2 linked regions of the Anolis sagrei genome follow. The protein of the gene in region 1 interacts with the protein of each later gene in a pairwise test. Links are inferred from orthologs where the notes say so. Each region holds a gene or a part of one and is shown on either strand. Other genes may lie near its edges.

Region 1 (10,319 bases):
GGCAGTGTAGATGGAGTCACAGTCCCAAACAAAGCCTGGACTTTTCTGAAGTGACATGTTACATTTCTGAATTTGGGCCTTGACCAAAGCAAATGTACAGTCCTACCATTGGCTCTGTGCACAACTATTCATTCCTTGTCTGTTCTGGCATCTGGCTTTATGTTCCTGGATCCATTTGATTTCCCACATATTGCTACTTATGACTCAGGACTGACTTTAAGCCAAAAGCAGCAAAAAAGAGACAACTTACTCGCTCACTCGCTTCCAATAGTCATGCTGTGCATTGTCACATTTTTACTCAAGATTTGGCTGGACATTCTAAGAATTGTTCCTGTAGCATCCAAGTTAACAAGGTGCTAAAGCACAAAACACAGGTAACATGAAGACATATATATCTGTCTGTTTGTTTTGGCATATTTTTTGAAGTCTATCTGACCCCTGGGAATTGTCCACTTCCATTAATCTTTTTAGAATAGAATATTATGCTGTAGAATCATAAAATCATACAATTGGAAGAAACTACATGGGCCATAGAATCCAACCCCCTGCCATGTAGAAAAAGCATGAAGTATCCCTGACAGATGGCTATCCGGCCTCTGTTTAAAAGTTTCCAAGGAAAGAGCTTCCACCTCACTCTGAGGCAGAGTTCTGAAATACAGCAATTTTAAATGGCCACAGATAGTGAGATCCGAGCCGCGGATAATTAAACCTGAAGTGCAGGTACCAAGTTCCAATACTTGGTTACAGGTAATGGCAACAGGCCGTCCTGTAGGCCCATGCACCTGGAGAGACAAAGAAGTCCAATATTCTTAAATAAATCTCACCAAGTTGAAGAAGTAGCCACTGACATGTTTACTGAAATCAGCTGAAGTGATGCCAGCCTGCGATAATCCGCCAAAGTAAACTGAGATACCAAACATTGCAAATCATACATTTTTATACACTTTAACCCTCTGAAAATCCGTCTCCCGCCCAGCTGGACCTGGCTTCGCCAATGACGTTGGAATAGCTGTGGGAAGATTCCTTGCAGAGACAGGACTGTGGCACTCGCTGGTCAATAGGAGAGCATTCCCCACTCTCAATGCAGATAGTCGCTCTCCTAATGAGGGGTTGGTTAGTCCAGAAGACAAAGGTGCTGAAATGTGTTCTGAATGGATTATCGGGTCCCTGCCAAGAGATAAACAAAGGGGGGCGCATTTGGTCTCATGAGTGTTTATTGTTAAGATGATTGCCATCTGAGTCCCCAGCGAATGGATCCAGCGTCTCTGGCACTGTTATCCACAGAGCCAAAAGCAGAAATATTGTTCATGCTGATAGGATTAAGTGGTTTGTTCCTCAGAAAGGGGAAATGTCATTGTTGGAGATGGGGCATGCTCCGCTGGCATACTGGATGATCATGCCAGGTGAAGAATAGTATTGCTATGTCCAAGTGACTGGGACAAAGGATGGGCAGCCCAGCACATGGATCCTATCATCATCTGCTCAGTCGAGGGTCTATGAGGCCAGTATAGATGGACTGTCCTGAAGGTGATGGGTGATTGAGTTGTTCTTATGTAGATGATGCTCAGGAAAACAGCTGGATGCTGGATGGACTTCTCGGGTCAGGAAATGTGGGCAAAAGATCGTCACAAAGACTTGGTTGGTGGTATGCTTCTCCAAGAAGGATTTTATGTTGAGACATAAAATATAATATAGTAATGGCGCACAAAAAAGTTCCATGGATATCGAGGGAACCCTGTGAATGGATAGTTAGATAAATATTCATGGGGAAGGGAAGATGTATACAAGAGATCTGTGTATATCTGGGGAAACCAAGCGACTGGGTAGGTCTCAGTATCCATGGGGAAGGTTAGCATTGACACGGGGTTACTTGGGCAAAGTTTAAGTAAATGCAAGGGGAAATGGGAAGGAGAGTTCTGCTGCTAGGGCCGTGGAGGGCTGTGGGTCATGTGGCCCAAGCAAACACTTGGCCGACTGCAGACTGCAGAAGCGAGTAAGAAAAGGACTCAGAGAGCAAAAATAGAGACGGAGAGGCAAAAATTAAGGATAACCAGGTTTATTTAAGGATTAGAAACCATATAACTAGTAGTAAGGGGAACATTGAGGCAAAAAGTTTCAAAAAAGGTCTCCTGGGCGCCAGTAGCTGCTGCTGGGCTTCTTCCTACATCCCCAAGCTAATTCCTTGATCCCCGCTGTGGAACTCTTTGCTGCAGTGCCAACTTTATCAATTTAGTATTTTGACCCCCAGGGAGGGGGAGGGGTCTATGCTCGGCAACAGTTCTTCCGTTGAACAGCTCATACGGTCAGGAAGTTCTTTCTAATGTTCAGGTGGGATATCTTTTCCTGTAATTTGAGCCTATTGCTCCAAGTCCTAGTCTCCAGGGCAGGAGAAAACAAACCCGCTCCCTCTTCCTTATGACATCATTTCACATATTTATACATGGTTATCATGTCTCCTCTCAACCTCTCCAGTAGGCTGTTAGGAATTGTGGGAGTTGAAGTCCAAAACACCTGGAGGGCCCAAGTTGGCCCATGCCTGGCCTAAATCCATGCTAAAGATTTATTAGTTAGGCTGTTAGGAATTGTGGGAATTGAAGTCCAAAACACCTGGAGGGCCCAAGTTGGCCCATGCCTGATCTACACTGTAGAAGTTTATTTGTTGTGTCAGAGCAACCAGTCCATTATATTACATTTCTAACAGAACAAAGCAAACAAACAGACAAATACAAAACTTGTGAGTTTGGTAGTTGGTTAAATGTCCTTTGACCAGTGTCTGGCCACTTGGAGTGCCTCTGGTGTTGCTGCAAGAAGGTCCTCCATTGTGCATGTGGCAGGGCTCAGGTTGCATTGCAGCAGGTGATCAGTGGTTTGCTCCTCTCCACACTCGCATGTCATGGGTTCCACTTTATAGCCCCATTTCTTAAGGTTGGCTCTGCATCTCGTGGTGCCAGAGCGCAGTCTGTTCAGCGCCTTCCAAGTCGCCCAGTCCTCTGTGTGCCCAGGGGGGAGTCTCTCATTTGGTATCAGCCATTGGTTGAGGTTCTGGGTTTGAGTCTGCCACTTTTGGACTCTCGCTTACTGGTGTGTTCCAGCAAGTGTCTCTGTAGATCTTAGAAAACTATTTCTAGATTTAAGTCGTTGACGTGCTGGCTGATACCCAAACAGGGGGTGAGCTGGAGATGTCTCTGCCTTGGTCCTTTCACTATTGGCTGCTACTTCCCAGCGGATGTCAGGTGGTGCAATACTGGCTAAGCAGTGTAATTTCTCCAGTGGTGTAGGGCGCAGACACCCCGTGATAATGCGGTATGTCTCATTAAGAGCCACATCCACTGTTTTAGTGTGGTGAGATGTGTTCCACACTGGGCATGCATACTCAGCAGCAGAGCAGCACAGCACAAGGGCAGATGTCTTCAATGTATCTGGTTGTGATCCCCAGGTTGTGCCAGTCAGCTTTCGTATGATATTGTTTCTAGCACCCACTTTTTGCTTGATGTTCAGACAGTGCTTCTTGTAGGTCAGAGCACGGTCCAAAGTGACTCCCAGGTATTTGGGTGTGTTGCAATGCTCCAGTGGGATCCCTTCCCAGGTAATCCTCAGAGCTCGGGATGCTTGTCTGTTCTTAAGGTGAAAGGCGCATGTCTGTGTTTTAGATGGATTAGGGATCAGTTGGTTTTCCCTGTAATAGGCAGTTAGAGCACCTAGAGCTTCGGAGAGCTTCTGTTCAACCATCTCAAAGCTCCCTGCTTGAGCAGTAATGGCACGATCATCAGCACAGATGAAACTCTTTGTCCCTTCTGGCAGTGGCTGGTCATTTGTGTAGATGTTGAACATGGATGGGGCAAGCACGCTCCCCTGAGGCAGGCCGTTCTTCTGTTTCCGCCATCTGCTTCTCTGGCCCTGAAACTCAACAAAAAAGCTCCTGTTTTGTAGCAGGTTTCCTATGAGGCGGGTGAGGTGGTAGTCCTTTGTGATATTATACATTTTTCTCAGGAGGAGGCGGTGGTTCACAGTATCATAAGCCGCTGACAGGTCTATGAAGACAGCTCCTGTGATCTGCTGCCTTTCAAAGCCATCTTCTATGTGCTGAGTCAGGTTCATCACTTGCGATGTACAGCTTTTGCCTTTTCTGAAGCCAGCTTGCTGTGGGATCAGACAGGGGTCTATTTTTTCCATAATTCTATGCAAAATAAGTCTCTCCTGTAGAGACTGTAGAAGTAATACAGTTTAACACCACCAGAACTCTCAGGATTCCACAGCATTGAGTGATGCCAGGCTGCATTCACTTTACTGTGTGCAATCCCCAAACTTTGGTCCTTGGAGTGTTTTGGACTTCATCTCCCAGAATGCCTGATCAAGGGACAGGCTGCGTTAGGCTTCTGGGAGTTGAAGTTCACTTTTTGTTTGATGTTCAGGCAGTGCTTCTTGTAGGTCAGAGCATGGTCCAAAGTGACTCCCAGGTATTTGGGTGCGCTGCAATGCTCCAGTGGGATTCCTTGCCAGGTGATCCTCAGAGTTCGGGATGCTTGTCTATTCTTAAGGTGAAAGGCGCATGTCTGTGTTTTAGATGGATTAGGGATCAGTTGGTTTTCCCTGTAATAGGCAGTAAGAGCACCTAGAGCTTCGGAGAGCTTCTGTTCTACCGTCTCAAAGCTCCCTGCTTGAGCAGTAATGGCAAAATCATCAGCATAGATGAAACTCTATGAGTTTCATCTAAATCCATGCTAAAGATTTATTAGTTAGGCTGTTAGGAATTGTGGGAGTTGAAGTCCAAAACACCTGGAGAGCCCAAGTTGGCCCATGCCTGGTCTACACTGTAGAAGTAATACAGTTTAACACCACTACAACTCTCAGGATTCCACAGCCTTGAGTTCAGGATTCCACATCACTGAGTGATGCCAGGCTGCATCCACTTTACTGTGTGTAATCCCCAAAGTTTGGTCCTTGGTGTGCTTTGGACTTCATCTCCCAGAATGCCTGATCAAGGGACAGGCTGCGTTGGGCTTCTGGGAGTTGAAGTTCAAAGCAACAACTGCGCCTCTCTCTCCTTCCTCGTTTCCCTACATCCGGTCCTGGAACCGCCCGGAACTATTCTTCCTCGGCTCCTTACTGCGCGGGGGAAAGTTTTTCCCGGGGCACAATGCGGAAGTGAGCTGTGCTGAAGGGGTCAGAGGCAGATCCATCCGGGGCCGGGGAGAGGAAAGATGAGGGGTGCTGGAGGGGGCCGAGAATAGGGCTCTGCCTTGTCCCAGAAGGGATTATTCAAGGAGAGGAGCCTTCAGGGTGCCTTTAAGGGTCATGGTTTCCAAAAGATCCAGATATGAATCAAGGACTTTGTCCTAACTTAGGAATTGGTGGGGAGAGGGATAGAGGAATGGCCTCTGGATTGTTTTGGTTCAAGGGGATCTCTTGGATGCCCCTGTAATTCTTCCTAAATCTTCTCAACCTTCTGCTTTAAAAGAAGTCCAGATTTTGTCTTGAAGGAAAGCTCCTTTAGGGGTCTATAGAGAAAGAGAGAGAGCACACTTTTTGTGGAATTCATAGTTTATTTAGTGGTTTAGTCCTGATTTTTTTAAGGGGGAAAAGCTAACTTAAGGATCTGGGGGAGAGAAAGATAGAGGAAAAGGCCACAACTTAAAGGAGGGATCCTTTTCATGCTCCTTTCATGGTTTCCAAATCCTCTCAACCTTCCACCTGAAGGACTTTACACTGAGAGGAAGCCAACTTGGGAATCTGGCCCACCTGTGGGAAGCATAGGTTAATATATTTGGGTTTTTGGTGATTAAGGGAGTCCCTTAAGAAGCCTAGCGCCATGGCCACCCGGCGTTTAACAGACGCGTTCTTGTTGTTGCGGAACAACGCGATCCAAAGTCGGCAGCTGCTGGCTGAGCAAGTGAGTAGTTACAGCTCCAGCCCTCTGACTTCACGTAGCATGGCTGCTGCGGTGAGTCCCCCTTCGTCCTACTGTATCCCACATTTCGCTGTTTTTAGAATTGTCTGATAGCAAGCATCTCTCTCTCGCTCTGTATCTCTCTTTGTTTCCTCTCTCATACTTTCCTCCCTCTTCTGTTTATTTATTTTACTTTGGGGGCCCTGGTGGTGCAGTGGGTTAAACCACTGAGCTGCTGAACTTGCTGACCGAAAGGTTGGCGGTTCAAATCCAGGGAGTGGAGTGGGCTCCTGCTGTTAGGCCCAGTTATTGCCAACCAAGCAGTTTGAAAACATGCAGATGTGTGTAGATCAATAGGTACCGCTTATGCGGGAAGGTAATGGCCCCCTGTGGCGCAGTGGGTTAAAGCACTGAGCTGCTGAGCTTGTTGATCGAAAGGTCACAGGTTCAATTCCGGGGAGCGGCATGAGCTTCCTCTGTCAGCCCTAGCTTCTGCCAACCTAGCAGTTCGAAAACATGCAAATGTGAGTAGATCAATAGGTACCACTCCGGCGGGAAGGTAACGGCGCTCCATGCAGTCATGCTGGCCACATGACCTTGGAGGTGTCTACGGACAACGCTGGCTCTTCGGCTTAGAAATGGAGATGAGCACCACACCCCAGAGTCAGACATGACTGGACTTAATGTCAGGGGACTACCTTTACCTTTAATGGCACTCTATGCAGTCATGCTGGCCACATGACCTTGGAGGTGTCTACAGGCAACGCCGGCTCTTTGGCTTAGAAATTAAGATGAGCCCACCCCCCCAGAGTCGGACATGATCAAACTTAATGTTAGGGAAACCTTTACCTTCTTTATACTGTATTTTTCCCTGCTCTATCTCAAGCCCAAAGGGGGCTCAGAGCAGCTTCCAAATTGGCAATAATCAATACAGCAATAAACATAAACATACAAATACAATATGCATTATACATTGAAATCAACAAAAAAATCATAAAAACCATAACATGTTTATTTTCTCCATAAGGATTTGTTGCATTAAGAGATTCATTCCCCCAGGTGGGGTTTTTCATTCTGTTATGGGACTTGCCTGTTATGAAGTTATGTAGAATGAATGCAGCTTGACACCTCTTTAACTAACAAGCAAGGAAAGAGGCAGTGCAGCCTATGCCCCCAAACTATATTTGATCCCTGATAATGTCCCAACCATCTTCCCTTTTTTCGGTGTTTCAAAAACATGGAACCTTGATCTATGCCTGTTCTCGCCGCCTATTGTTTTGTTATTGTTATTTTTAAAGCTAATTGTATTGTTTTAATCTGCTTCTGTAAACTGCTCCGAGCCAAATTGGGAGTAGCGGTATACGAGATAAATAAATAAATAAATAAATAAATAAATCTACATGGGCTTTAAAGGAAACCCTCTTAAGGTGCTTCTGTACTATTGAGTTAATGCAGTTTGGCACCCCTTTGGCAGAGAAAACTAAACCTTGCAGGACAACAACTCCCATGATTCCATAGCATTGAGCCATGGCAGTTCGACTGGTGTCATACTGCACTCATCCTACAATATAGATCCGGCATGGGCAAACTTTGGCCCTCCAGGTGTTTTGGACTGTTAGGAAGGCTGTTAGGAATTGTTGGAGTTAAAGTCCAAAACACCCAGAGGCCCAGAGTTTGCCCCTGCCTGGTGTAGATTTTTTCCCCTGGGGAAAGAGTGCTGAGAGTATTTTGGCACATGCATTTCTGTCAGCATTTTTTAAAAAATGATAAAGGATAGTGATTATTATAATTCAAAATGCCCAGAGGGTGTAAATTTCTCTACCCATTGTCATATTTGCTTTTTAAAGGTAAGCAATGTCAAACATGCTTAGAAGCAAATAATTTTTGTTCCTGTGTATTCTTAACAAGGACTTGTAGCCAGTCACAGCTCCATGATGGGTGCAGGTCTTCAATAGTGTGTGTTATATTCCTTACAAATAGCTAAGGACACCTTTATTTTGTAGCTGACAGGAGGGAAGGTATGGGTCTTTTGGTGGCTGCAAGTTTCACTCAGGTTTTCTACCTTTTGCATTGCATTTGGAAGGGAGGTGAACTGGTTTTCTTTTCATTTTCTTATTTTGTACTCCTTTATTTAATGTTTATCCTGCCTTTCTCCCAGTACAGGATCCAAGGTGGCTTACAATTTATGGTAAAACAAATTGAAGGCCCATGATGGGGGATCCCATGATAGGATTGCAATAAGTTGGAAATAGCTTGAAGGCACAAAATAACAAAAACTGTGAAGTACAGTGTCCTCTAGAACATAGACATGTGATTGTATCCCTTCAGATGTGTTCTTGGCTTAAATTGGGAATCATTTGTAGCCAACATAGACAAGTATGATGGATTGTAATGAAAAGTTGCCATGTGTGCGAAATTTGTTCCTACCGTTTCATTTGTGTCAAGCCAAAATCTCCTCCTTGCCTGCATTTGGGCAGGCCTGGCTCTAGGCTGCAGGCACACTCTGGGCCTGTTTGCAGGCCCCACCACACACTCTCTCTCCGAGAATGTGGCGGGGCCTGTAGGCTGTCTGCATGCCCTGCCACACACTCTCCGAGTGTGGTGGGGCATGTGAGGCGGCTGGCGGGACCTGCAGGTTCACTCTGGACCTGCCTGCAGAGGAGCAACAGCGGGTGCCAAGTAAGGAGAACTTCAGGAAGAGGTGCCAGTGGATGGGAAGCCCCCCCCCCCCCCCCCAATATTGGTCCAAAATTCGGTGTCCCAATCCAAAAATACATCCCGATTTCGGGAGGCTTTCGAAAACAGATTGGGGGTCGCAATGAAAGCTGGGGTGCAAAACTGGGCAAGGTTTGCCCTGAAAGCACATGAGTAGTCAAAAGACATCTTGAAGGCCACATCTGCCTGCTTCAGAGACAAGTAAGCTTTCTGAATGGGCTACATTCCTTCAGAGCAGGCCTGCACCACTTTGTCCCTCCAGGTCTTTTGGACTTCAGCTCCTAGAATTCCTGACCATTGAACAGGCTGGTTAGGGCTTCTGGAAGTTGGATGCCCAAACACCTGGAGGGCCGCAGGTTGTACAGGCCTGCTTCAAAGTAATCTTAGCAGGCTTATATGCCTGTAATGTGTGGTTCTGAAGTAAAAAGTGGACAGAGCCAGAGCCAAAAGGAAATATATCTATTTGCCCCATCTGCCATTCATATAACTTTTAGGAAAAGTCAGATTGCTCTTACTGAGTCAGGTTACACATAGGGTACTTTTGGAAAGGTTGTTATTATTATTGGCAGCTAACAAATATAATACACCAAATACAAATTTAAAATAAGTCAAATACTTAAAAAAATGAAACATTTATTTATTTATTTATTTATTATTTATTTATTTGTAGGTGGATATGAAAGTTAATATACAAGGAATACCATTAAAATTTATTCAAAGCCCACAATCCCCCCTCCATCAAAGCCCACACACAACCTTCCTAGCAGTTTGCACCTCATCCACAAAGAAATGTCTTAATTACTTGTGGAAGGCCAGCAGGGATGGGGCCATCCTGGTCTGTCTTGGGAGGGAGTCCCACAGCCTAGGAGTAGGAACAGCCATTGAAAGGGCCCTCTCCCATGTTCTCACCAAATAGGCAGATGTTTGTAGGTTGCAGGCCACATGGCTGTAAGGTTGTAGGTTGCTGACCCTTTCTCTATGGCTTTTCTTGGCAACTTGCTTTCCAGAGCTATGTAGACTTCCCTGTTTTAGCGTGAGGCATGGTGGTAAATGCGTCCGTATTGACAGGGTTTTCTTATTGTTAAAAAAGTCAAACACAGTTCATATGAATGAAATATCCTGATGTTTTTCAGACATATTCAAATAACTAAAGCAGCCGGTTTGGCATGTCCTAAATTCCTTGCTTTAAAAATAACGCAGATTTTTCTGGCTAGTAACTGACAAGAACCACATCAGCTGTTTTCATTTCCTTTTTTAGTTCAGATCATTCATCTATCTGAGAAAGAGCCCACTAGTAGCTCTCTCTTCACGTCTTTTCCACTTGTTTGCATGAACACCACTTTCTGCATGAATAGGCATTTTTTATACTTAGGATTCAACTGTGTAAACAGTTTGCTTTGTAACTAGCAACTTGTGAACTTACATTTATACCATTTAAATAACGTTTTTACAGTGGCAAAGGTCACATCTGGCAATATATTTTCCATGGTGTTTCTTTTTTTGGCACTGCGCTCTAGCTCTTACCAATAGTTTCTCTTGATTATAATGTAAAGTCCTTGGATCCCCAAGGTTTCTTAGGAATCTGCAGTTTTAACATGTATTTGCAAAGTCTCTAGAAAATAGAGTAGCCACTAAAATAGGTAATAGGATAACAGTAACTAGCTACAAAAGAGCTTTATATTCTGAACATATTTTCCTAACCAGGATAAAAAAGAAC
Region 2 (11,254 bases), on another chromosome or scaffold:
CAGACTTGTATTTGCTGCCTTCCTTCCAGCCAGAACCAGAACGAAACCTCTTTTCCAAAGCTGTCTTTCTTGCTAAACAGAGTCCAGCATCTGTTTCATTGCAGTTTCGCTTGAGAAACTCATTGAGGTCACGTTTGCTCCCATTGCATTAGCAAGCTTTCTGGTGTTGGGTTTCTGGCTTGCGGAAAGGCCTCTCCGGGACACTTGGGAAGCGAGTGGGTGTCCTCCAAGTTGGGGGGGGGGGTTGCCCATTTTGAGCTTGTAAAAACATGCTTCAAATAGGTTTCGGGGCTCCGAAAGGGAGGGCTATTTGGGCATCGCTGGCCTGGGCATTACCCTGCCATTTGGCCTCTTTGTAACCTTATGAAACATCCAGCAAACTCTGCAGAAAGCAGCCACAGAGTTGGGTTGAGAGCCCTGGAGAAACCGGATTCCTTTGGGTTGACCTCTCCGGCCATAAATAGTTTGGTTAGCTCTCTGCCAGACACCACTTTTTGGACTTGGAAGCACTGGGAGGAAAACATCTCTTGGTTCACTCAAATGAACTCGCAAAATGTCTTCCCACGCTCCTGTGATTATTACTTTTTTCTACTTTTTCCCTTTCTCTTCTTTGCAGGATTTTGAATTATTATTATTGACACAAAAGCACAGTATGTCACAGCAAACGAGATCTATATGCTGGATTTCATGTCACAAAATCACAAGTCGAACACTTCCCAAGCGTCTAGGACAGTGTGATGTATTTTCGAATGATGTGCGCAGATCCAAGTCAGGTGGCCTTTTGCAGTTGACAGGTCGTGATTTTGTCGATGTTTATTGTTTCCAAATGCCGGCTGAGATCTTTTAGCATGGCACCCAGTGTGCCGATGACCACTGGGACCACCTGTACTGGTTTATGCCAGAGCCTTTGCAGTTCGATTTTGAGGTCTTGAGAGCGGCTGAGTTTTTCCTGTTGTTTTTCCTCAATGCGACTGTCACCCGGTATGGCAACATCAATAATCCAGACTTATTTCTTTTCCACAATCGTGATGTCTGGCATATTGTGTTCCAAAACTTTGCCAGTCTGGACTCGAAAGTCCCACAGTATTTTTGCATGTTCATTTTCCATGACCTTTGTGGGTTTTATCATCCCTTTACCAATTCTTTACTGCTGGCAGGTGGTACTTGTGACATAAGTTCCAGTGAATCATCTGGGCCACAGAATTGTGTCTTTGTTTGTAGTCCATCTGTGCAATTTTCTTGCAACAGCTGAAGAGATGATCCATAGTTTCATCAGCTTCCTTGCACAGCCTGCATTTTGGGTCATCCGCTGATTTTTCAATCCTGGCCTTAAATGCATTGGTTCTGATAGCTTTTTTCCAGGGCTGCAAGAATCAGGCGTTCTGTCTCCTTCTTCAGGGTTCCATTCAGGAGCCATAACCAGGTCTTCTCCTTGTCAACTTTTCCTTCATTCTTCTCAAGGAACTGCCCATGTAAGGCTTTGTTGTGCCAGCAGTCAGCTCTGGTTTGTTGTGCAGTTTTCTTGCACTGACTCTTTGTCTGCTGTGCTTTGAGAAGTTTCTGATTATTGACTTCAATTAAAGCAGGTTCTTGGCTTTCCTTGACATATTCTGCCAGGGCGTGTTTTTTCTTCTTTGACTGCTTGTATTATTATTATTATTATTATTATTATTATTATTATTATCTTTATTTATACCCCGCTAACATCTCCCGGAGGACTCGGTGCTGCTTACAAGAGGCCAAGGCCAACACATCAATAAAACAACAGTATAACAAATACAACAATAAATAAGCTCATAAAAAAAACAATAACATTAAAACAACAGCAATAACCATTAGACAATAACACCACAATGCATTTAAAAACTGAGGCTGGGCCAAATGTAATGGATAAAAATTTAAAAAATGCTGGACATGACAGGTGAAGTGCGGTCATAGGTGCGGTGTGCGGACAATCTTAAATCTCTAGTAAAGTGCATTTGGGACATGATGCTAGGAGTTTCCTATTCAGGGAAGGCACACTGGAACAGCCACGTCTTCAAGCTCTTCCTAAAGACTGCCAACATTAGGGCTTGTCTAATATCCTTGGGGAGGGGGGGGCCACCACAGAGAAGGCCCTGTCCCTCATCCCCACCAAACGCGCTTGCGACGCAGGTGGGATCGCGAGCAGGGCCTCTCCAGATGATCGGAGAGATCGTGTGGGTTCGTATATGGAGATGCGATCACGCAGGTAGGCGGGTTCCAAACCGTTTAGGGCTTTGTAGGTAAGTACCTGCACCTTGAATTGGGACCGGAAGATGAATGGCAGCCAATGGAGCTCCTTAAACAGGAGGGTTGACCTCTCTCTGTAAGGAACACCAGTTAACAACCTGGCTGCCACCCGTTGGACTAGTTGGAATTTCCGGGCCGTTTTCAAGGGCAGCCCCACGTAGAGCGCATTACAGTAGTCCAATCTTGAGGTGACCAAGGCATGGACCACCCTGGCCAGATAAGCCTTTTACTTGTAAAAGTCCTCTGCCACCAGACTTTCTAGGCAGATAGAGCTGGTCAACATCACTGCGAGGATGTAGTGAATTATGAATGGTCATGAGTTTTCTTGTTTTTCTGTCCAAATTGTCCAGTTCTGCCTGTGTCCAGTTTATGATGTCAACAGTATATCTTATGACAGGTATGGCCCAGGTATTTATGGCCTTGATGGTATTGCCTCCACTGAGCTTGCTTTTGAGAATTTTTCTGACCCTTTGAATGTATTCTTTGCTGACCATGTTCATGTTTGATGTTGTCCAGCCGTAGTATGCCCAGATATTTATAGGCCTCTGGCTGGTGACACTTGATCGCTTGGCCATTGGGAATATTATAAAGTATTATTATTATTATTATTATTATTATTATTATTATTACTATTATTATGGTCAAAGGACATTTAGTACAATGCCAAGTTTTTTATCTTTGTGTTTTTAAATATATTACAACTGTACCCTCGGTTTGCTTCTGATGTGATAAATGTTGTTGTTGTTGTTGTTGTTTCCTGCTCTTGAGTGAGATCTAAACGAGGCTCACTGAGCGCACAACTGGTAACCTTGAACTCGGTGAGAACAGCAATTTAAAAAGGCCATAAAATTGTGTTTTCTGTTGAATAGAATGCACTCAGAGCTGTTTTGCAAACTCAAACCTGTTTCTTTCTGCTGTGGAAAATCACAACCGACTCCTTTTTTGAGCTGGGAGGGCCCTAAATTCACTGGGAGCAGCAAAGTCCATAAAAAGACAATGAGAAAAATTGGTCCTTCACGTCACATAGCTTTTAAACCAGTGGTTCTCAACCTGGGGGTTGCGACCCCTAGGGGGGTCATTAGACCATTTTGGGGGGTCGCGAAGCTGCCTTGGTTGGCCCCAGCCCTGCTAAAATAGCTACTGACCCTTGCCATTTGGGCAAGGGAGAGCTGCCCAGCACCCGTGCCGTTCCGAGTTCGGAAGGGCGCGGGGGCCAGGCGTAGGACTACCCACACGGCCTTGCCATTTGGGCAGCCTTTCTGCCCGGCCCCCCGCACACCCTTCCGAGCTCTTTGATGGCAGGGGAGCTATACATCACAGTAGCTCCCAAATGCCAAGATCTATTCACCTCAAACTCCACCAGTATTCACATTTGGGCATATTGAGTATCCGTACCAAGTTAGGTCCATATCCATCGTTGTTTGAGTCCATAGTGCTTTATGGAGGTAGGTGAACTACAACTCCAAAACTCAAGGTCAATGCCCACCAAACCCTTCTAGTATTTTCTGTTGGTCATGGGGGTTTTGTGTGCCAAGTTTGGACCAATTCCATCATTGGTGGAGTTCAGAATGTGCTTTGTTTGCAGATGAACTATAAATCCCAGCAACTGCAACTCCCAAATGTCAAGGTCTATTTCCCCCAAAGTCCACCAGTGTTCAAATTGGGGCATATTGAGTATTTGTGCCAAGTTTGGTCCAGATCAGAGGCGGCCCTAGGTAATTCCCAACGGTAAGCAAACAGGTCCTTGTGGGTTTTTTCGGGCTATAGGACCATGTTCTAGAGGCATTTCTCCTGACGTTTCGCCTGCATCTATGGCAAGCATCCTCAGAGGTAGTGAGGTCTGTTGGAATTAGGACAATGGGTTTATATATCTGTGGAATGGCTGGGGTGGGGCAAAGAGCTTTTCTCTGCTGGAGCTAGGTGTGAATGTTTCAACTGACCACCTTCATTAGCATTTGAAGGCTTGGCTGAGCCTGGGAAAATCTTTTGTTGAGAGGTGTTAAGATGTACCTGGTTGTTTCCTCTCTGCTGTTTTGCTGTTGTAATTTTAGAGTTTTTAAATAGAGTTTTTAAATATTTTTTTAAAAGCAAACAGTATTTTGCCCCCCCCCCCCCCAACCAATCACTGATATATATTTTCTGTTCGTTGTGGGAGTTCTGCATGCCATATTTGGTTCAATTCCATCATTGGTGGAGTTCAGAATGCTCTTTGATTGTAGGTGAACTATACATCCCAGTAACTACAACTCGCATATGTCAAGGTCTGTTTTCCCCCAAGAGCGCCTCAACAGCGCCCCTGGGCAAAATCAACTATACTGTAAATGCTTACTTTGCGTAATGGGTTGAGCAGCCCCTGGTCCAGATCCATCTGCAATACTCTCTGAATGCAGATGAACTACAACTCCAAAACTCAAGGTCAATGCTCAACAAACCCTTCCAGTATTTTTCGTTGGTCGTGGGAGTTCTGTGTGCCAAGTTTGGTCCCATTCCTTCATTGGTGGAGTTCAAAATGCTCTTTGATTGTAGGTGAACTATAAATCCCAGCAACCACAACTCCCAAATGACATAATGAATTCTCCCTCCAACCCCAACAGTATTCAAATTTGGGCATATTGGGTAAGATAAGGTAAAAGTTTTCCCCTGACATTAAGTCCAGTCGTGTTCAACTCTGGCAGTTGGTGGTCAATTTCTAGGCCAAAGAGCCGGTGTTGTCCATAGACACCTCCAAGGTCATGTGGCTGACATGACGGCATGGAGCGCTGTGGTTGGGTATTTGTGCCAAATTTGGTCCAGTGAATGAAAATACATCCTGCATTTCAGATATTTAAATTATGATTCATAACAGCGACACAATTACAATTAGGAAGTAACAATAATAATAATTTTATGGTTGGGGGTCACCACAACGTGAGGCACTGTATTAAGGGGTCGCGGAAGCAGGGAGGCATCAAGAAAGGAAACAAGGGGCCCCCAAACAGGAAGGAAAAGAGGAAGAGGAAGCGCAAGGGAGCCAAAAGGAAAGAGGAACAGGATGCCCTGCAAAGGAAACAATAGCCTCTTTTGACAAGTGACTTTTCCATTCTGCTATTTCTAGCACAGCTATGTTTACATATATCTAACCTTTCTTAGGCCCCTTCTTCACTGCCATATTAAATCCAGATTGTCTGCTTTGAATTGGATTATATGGCAGTGTAGACTCATATAATCCAGTTCAATGCAGTTAATCTGGATTAACTGCTTTGATAATCTGGATTATATGGCAGTGTAGACTCATATAATCCAGTTCAATGCAGATAATCCGGATTAACTGCTTTGATAATCTGGATTTTTATGACAGTGTAGACTCATATAATCCAGTTCAATGCAATTAATCTGGATTAACTGGAGCCCCCGGTGGTGTAGTGGATTAAACCCCTGTGCTGGCAGGACTGAAGACTGACAGGTCGCAGGTTCAAATCCGGGGAGAGCGCTGATGAGCTCCCTCTGTCAGCTCCACCTCCTCATGCGGGGACATGAGAGAAGCCTCCCACAAGGATGATAAAACATCAAAACATCCCCTGGGCAACATCCTTGCAGATGGCCAATTCTCTCACACCAAAAGCGACTTGCAGTTTCTCAAGTCACTCCTGACATGACAAAAAAAATCTGGATTAATTTCTTTGATAATCTGGATTATATTGCAGCGTAGACTCATATAATCCAGTTCAATGCAGATTTTCTGGATTAACTGCTTTGATAATCTGGATTATATGGCAGCGTAGACTCATATAATTAAGTTCAATTCAGATAATCTGGATGAAGTGGTTTGATGATATGGATTTTATGGCAATGTAGACTCATATAATCTAGTTCAATGCAGATAATCTGGATTAATTGCTTTGATAATCTGGATTATATGGCACTGTAGACTCATATAATCAAGTTCAATGCACATAATCTGGATTAACTGCTTTGATAATCTGGATTATATGGCACTGTAGACTCATATAATCAAGTTCAATGCAGATAATCTGGATTAACTGCTTTGATAATCTGGATTATATGGCACTGTAGACTCATATAATCAAGTTCAATGCAGATAATCTGGATTAACTGCTTTGATAATCTTAATTTTATGGCAGTGTAGACTCATATAATCCAGTTCAATGCAGATAATCTGGATTAACTGTTTTGATAATATGTATTTTATGGCCGCGTAGACTCATATAATCCAGTTCAATGCAGATAATATGGATTAACTGCTTTGATAATCTGGATTTCATGGCAGTGTAGACTCGTATAATCCAGTTCAAAGCAGATGATCTGGATTGACTGCTTTGCTAATCTGGATTTTACGGCAGTGTAGACTCATATAATCCAGTTCAAAGCAGATAATCTGGATTAACTGCTTTGATGATATAGATTTTATGGCAATGTAGACTCATATAATCCAGTTCAAAGCAAATAATCTGGATGATCTGGTTTTACTCTAGTTTTCCAGTGAATATTTCCTCTAGTTTCAACCAATGCAACATAGTCTGTGCAACTAAAACAAAGTTTCAAAATTAAGGACTGTACCATGAAACAGGAAATAACACCTTCAAACCAGGAACAGACCCCTTTCCCAACAATTCTGTTACTTCATCGTGGAATCATTACAACCTAGAGTGGGAAGGGAACCCCCAAGGCCATCCAGTCGGGCCCCTTCCTGCCATAGAGGAAGACACAGTCCGAGCCCTCCCTACAGACGGCCATCCAGCCTCTCGGGAGAAAGCCCTCCTTCCCGAGGGAAGCAAGGGGAGGGTCCAAGCAACGAAGGAGGGCGAAGGGGGCGGACTCAGGAGGAGACTGAGGAGGAGGAGGAGGAGGAGGAAGGAGGACGGAGGACCTTCAGTCTCTTCGCCTCCGGAGCAGCCATGGTGAGTGTTGCTATGATTGCAGAGGCTGGATGGCCATCTGTCGGGAGGGTTTTGATGGTGTTTCATGACAGAAAGAAGAGAGTCAGGCTGGGTGGCCCTTGGGGTCCCTTCCACCTCTAGTATTCTATTATTATTATTATTAGTAGTAGTAGTAGTAGTAGTAGTAGTATGCAGAGGATGAATGGCCATCTGTCAGGAGGGTTTTGATGGTGTTTCATGACAGAAAGAAGAAAGTCAGGCTGGGTGGCCCTTGGGGTCCCTTCCACCTCTAGTATTCTATTATTATTATTATTATTATTAGTAGTAGTAGTAGTAGTAGTAGTAGTATGCAGAGGATAAATGGCCATCTGTCCGTAGGGTTTTGTTGGTGCTTTTCTTGCATAATGGCACAAAGAAGGGTGTTGGGTGGATGACCTTTGGGAGTCTCTTCCAACTCTAGCCTTCTATGATGATGATGATGATGATGCAGAGGCTGAATGGCCATCTGTCAGGAGGGTTTTGATTATGCTTTTCCTGCATAATGGCAGAAAGAATGGGGTTGGGATGGGTGGACCTTGGGGTCCCTTCCAATTCTAGTATTCTATTATTATTATTAGCAGTAGTAGTAGTATTATGCAGAGGATGGATGGCCATCTGTCAGTAAGGTTTTGTTGGTGCTTTTCCTACATAATGGCACAAAGAAGGGTGTTGGGTGTATGACCTTTGGGAGTCCCTTCCAACTCTAGTCTTCTATTATTATTATTGGTATTATTATTATTATTATTATTATTATTATTATTATTATTATTATGCAGGCTGGATGGACATGTCCGGAGGGTTTTGATGGTTCTTTTCCTGCATAATGGCAGAAAGAAGCATCTTAGGATGTGTGGCCTTTGGGGTCCTTTACAACTCTAGGATATTATTATTATTACTACTATTATTATTATTATGCGGAGACTGGATGGCCATCTGTCAGAAGGGTTTTGATGGTGCCTTTCCTGCATAATGGCAGAAAAAAAGGGGTTGGTCTGGATGCCCCTGGGGTCCCTTCCAACTCTAGCATTCTATGATATAGATTTCAGACACAGGCTGGTGCCAGGAGAGCTTTGATTGTGTTTTTCCTGCATAATGGCTTATTATTATTATTATTATTATTATGAATGGCAGAAGGGGGTTCTGCTGGAAGGCTCTTGAGGGGGTGACTTTTCCAACTGTAGGATTGTACAGTTCTATTATTATTATTATTATTATTATTATTATTATTATTATTTACACAACCTTATTATAATCATCATCAGTATGCAGAGGCTGAATGGCCATCAGTTGGGAGGGTTTTAATCATCCTTTTCCTGCATAATGGCAGAAAGAAGGATGGGATGGGTGGCCCTTCAGGTCCCTCCCAAAACTAGCATTCTATTATTATTATTATTATTATTATTATTATTATTTAGACTGGATGGCCATCTATTGGGAGGATTTTACTTCCTTGTAGATTGGGATTAAACTAGATATCTCCTGGGGTCCCTTCCAACTCTAAGATTCTGTAGTTCTATTATTATTATTATTATTATTATTATTATTATTATTATTATTATTACTGTTGTTAATGCAGAGGCTGAATGGCCATCTCTCAGGAGGGTTTTGATTGTGGTTCCATTGTAGATTGGGTGTTGGAGTAGATGTTCCCTGCGTGTCCCTTCCAATTCTAAGATTCGATAGTTCTATTATTATTACTATTATTATTTCTTCAGAGGTTGGATGGCCATCTGTCAGGAAAGTTTTGATTGTGCTTTTATTCCATTGTAGATTCGGGTTGGACTAGATGTCCCCTGGGTGTCCCTTCCAACTCTTTGATTCTATAGTACTATTATTATTACTCTTATTATTTATACAGAGGCTGGATGGCCATCTGTCAGGAAGGTTTTGATTGTGCTTTTATTCCATTGTAGATTGGAGTTGGACTAGATGTCCCCTGAGGTCCCTTCCAACTCTAGGATTCTATAGTTCTATTTTTACTACTATTACTATTATGGGCATCTGTTGGGAAGGTTTTGATTATGCTTTCCTGTCTGGCAGAAGTGGGTTAGAGTGGATGACCTTTGGGGACCCCTTCCGACTCTCGGATTCTCGGACTCCCATCTTCCTCAGCCTGGAAGACTAGAAATATGGTTGGGCAAGGCAGGGGCCTTCTCCAGCCCAAGGGATTTTCACTTTCCTTTTCTAGTAACTAGATCAGGGTTATTGCCAGGCATGTTTCAAATAGGAACTTGCATCAGATCAATCCAACCGTTTTGTTATCTCAATAATTCCAATGTGCCATCCAGAAAGAACAAAGTACAACATGAGGAATGAATGCGGTTTGGCCCCACTTGCAGCTCCTCTGGCTCAGTGCGATGGGATCCTGGGAGTTGTCCTTTGCAGAGAAGATGAAAAATCCTGTAAGACTGCAACTCCCATTATTCTGCAGACTTTGGGTTATTACTCATAGGAAAATTGGATCCCAACAGCTTTGTTCATAAAGCTATTGTCTTCCCAACCCTGCTATACACCTGCGAGATGTGGACTGTCCACAGACATCACACGCAACTCCTAGAACGATTCCATCAGCACTGCCTCCAGAAAATCCTGCAGATCTCTTGGAAAGACAAGCAGACAAATGCTAGCATCCTGGAAGAAGCAAAGACCACCAGCATTGAAGCGATGGTCCTCTGCCATCAACTCCGCTGGACCGGCCACGTTGTCCGGATGCCCGACCACCGTCTCCCAAAGCAGTTGCTCTACTCCAAACTCAAGAATGGAAAATGGAATGTTGGAGGACGGGAAAAGAAATTTATAGATGGGCTCAAAGCCAACCTTTAAAACTCTGGCATAGACACTGAGAACCGGGAAGCCCTGGCCCTTGAGCGCTCCAGCTGGAAGTCAGCTGTGACCAGCAGTGCTATAGAATTTGAAGAGGCACGAATGGAGGGCAAAAGAGAGAACTGTGCCAAGAGGAAGATGTGCCAAGCCAACCCCGAGCAGGACCACCTTCCACCTGAAAACCAATGCCCTCACTGCGGGAGAAGATGCAGATCAAGAATAGGGCTCCACATTCACCTACGGAACCATCGCCAGTACACCAATCTTGAAAGACTATCCTACTCAGACAATGAGGGATCGCCTAAGTAAGTAAGTAACTAAGATTGGTCGGCCACTCAGCCAAGCAGAGGGCTGTTTCTGAGACTCCAGGCAGGGAGGGGAGAGCAGACGTGCTCGGTGCATGGCAGCATGATGCGCTCGTGCAGGCAAGGGAGAGTGTGAGGCTGGAGGAGGCTCGTGCCAGCAAGTCCTTTCAGGGCATAGGTGTTCTGTGTTGGAAGTTTCACCCAATTCTGTCACTGGTGTGTTACAGAATGCTCTTTGATTGTGGGTGAACTATAAATCCCAGCAACTATAATGCCCAAATGTCAATGTCTGTTTTCCCCAAACTACACCAGTGTTCACATTTGGGCATATTGTGTATCTCTGCCAAGTTTGGTCCAGATCCATCATTGTTTTGAGTCTACAGAGATCTCTGGATGTGGGTGACAACTCCCAAACTCAAGGTCAGTGTCCACCAAACCCTTCCATGATTTTCTGTTGTCCATGGGAGTTCTGTGTGCCAAATTTGGTTCAATTCCGTTGTTGGTGTATTTCAGAATGCTCTTTGATTGTAAGTGAACTATAAATGCCAGCAGCTACAACTCCCAAATGTCAAGGTCTATTTCCCCCAAACTCCATCAGTATTCACATTTTGTCATACTAAGTATTTTTGCTAAGTTTGGTCCAGATCTATCATTGTTTGAATCCACAGTGCTCTCTGGATGTAGGTGAACTACAACTCCAAAACTCAAGGTCAATGCCCACCAAACCCTTCCAGTATTTTCTGTTGGTCATGGGAGTTCTGTGTGCCAAATTTGGTCCAATTCCATCATTTGTGGAGTTCAGAATGCTCTTTAATTGTAGGTGAACTATCAATCACAGCAATTACAACTCCCAAATGACAAAACCAATACCCCCACAACTACACCAATATTCTAATTTGGGTGTATTGGGTATTTGTGCCAAATTTGGTCCAGTGAGTG

Evidence for each region.
Region 2: the proteins of STX16 (region 1) and VAMP5 interact in binary tests that used the Homo sapiens proteins (3 or more experiments, as listed by UniProt). The two-hybrid records come from large-scale screens. The link is inferred for Anolis sagrei from reciprocal best matches to the Homo sapiens genes STX16 and VAMP5.

What each region holds. Positions count from the first base shown.
Region 1 is NC_090024.1:228,572,885-228,583,203, forward strand, and holds the start of STX16 (syntaxin-16), read left to right. Parts: upstream 1-5,133; 5' UTR 5,134-5,809; coding exon 5,810-5,941; intron 5,942-10,319. UniProt on the Homo sapiens protein: SNARE involved in vesicular transport from the late endosomes to the trans-Golgi network.
Region 2 is NC_090027.1:22,922,391-22,933,644, forward strand, and holds the start of VAMP5 (vesicle-associated membrane protein 5), read left to right. Parts: upstream 1-6,967; 5' UTR 6,968-7,166; coding exon 7,167-7,169; intron 7,170-11,254. UniProt on the Homo sapiens protein: May participate in trafficking events that are associated with myogenesis, such as myoblast fusion and/or GLUT4 trafficking.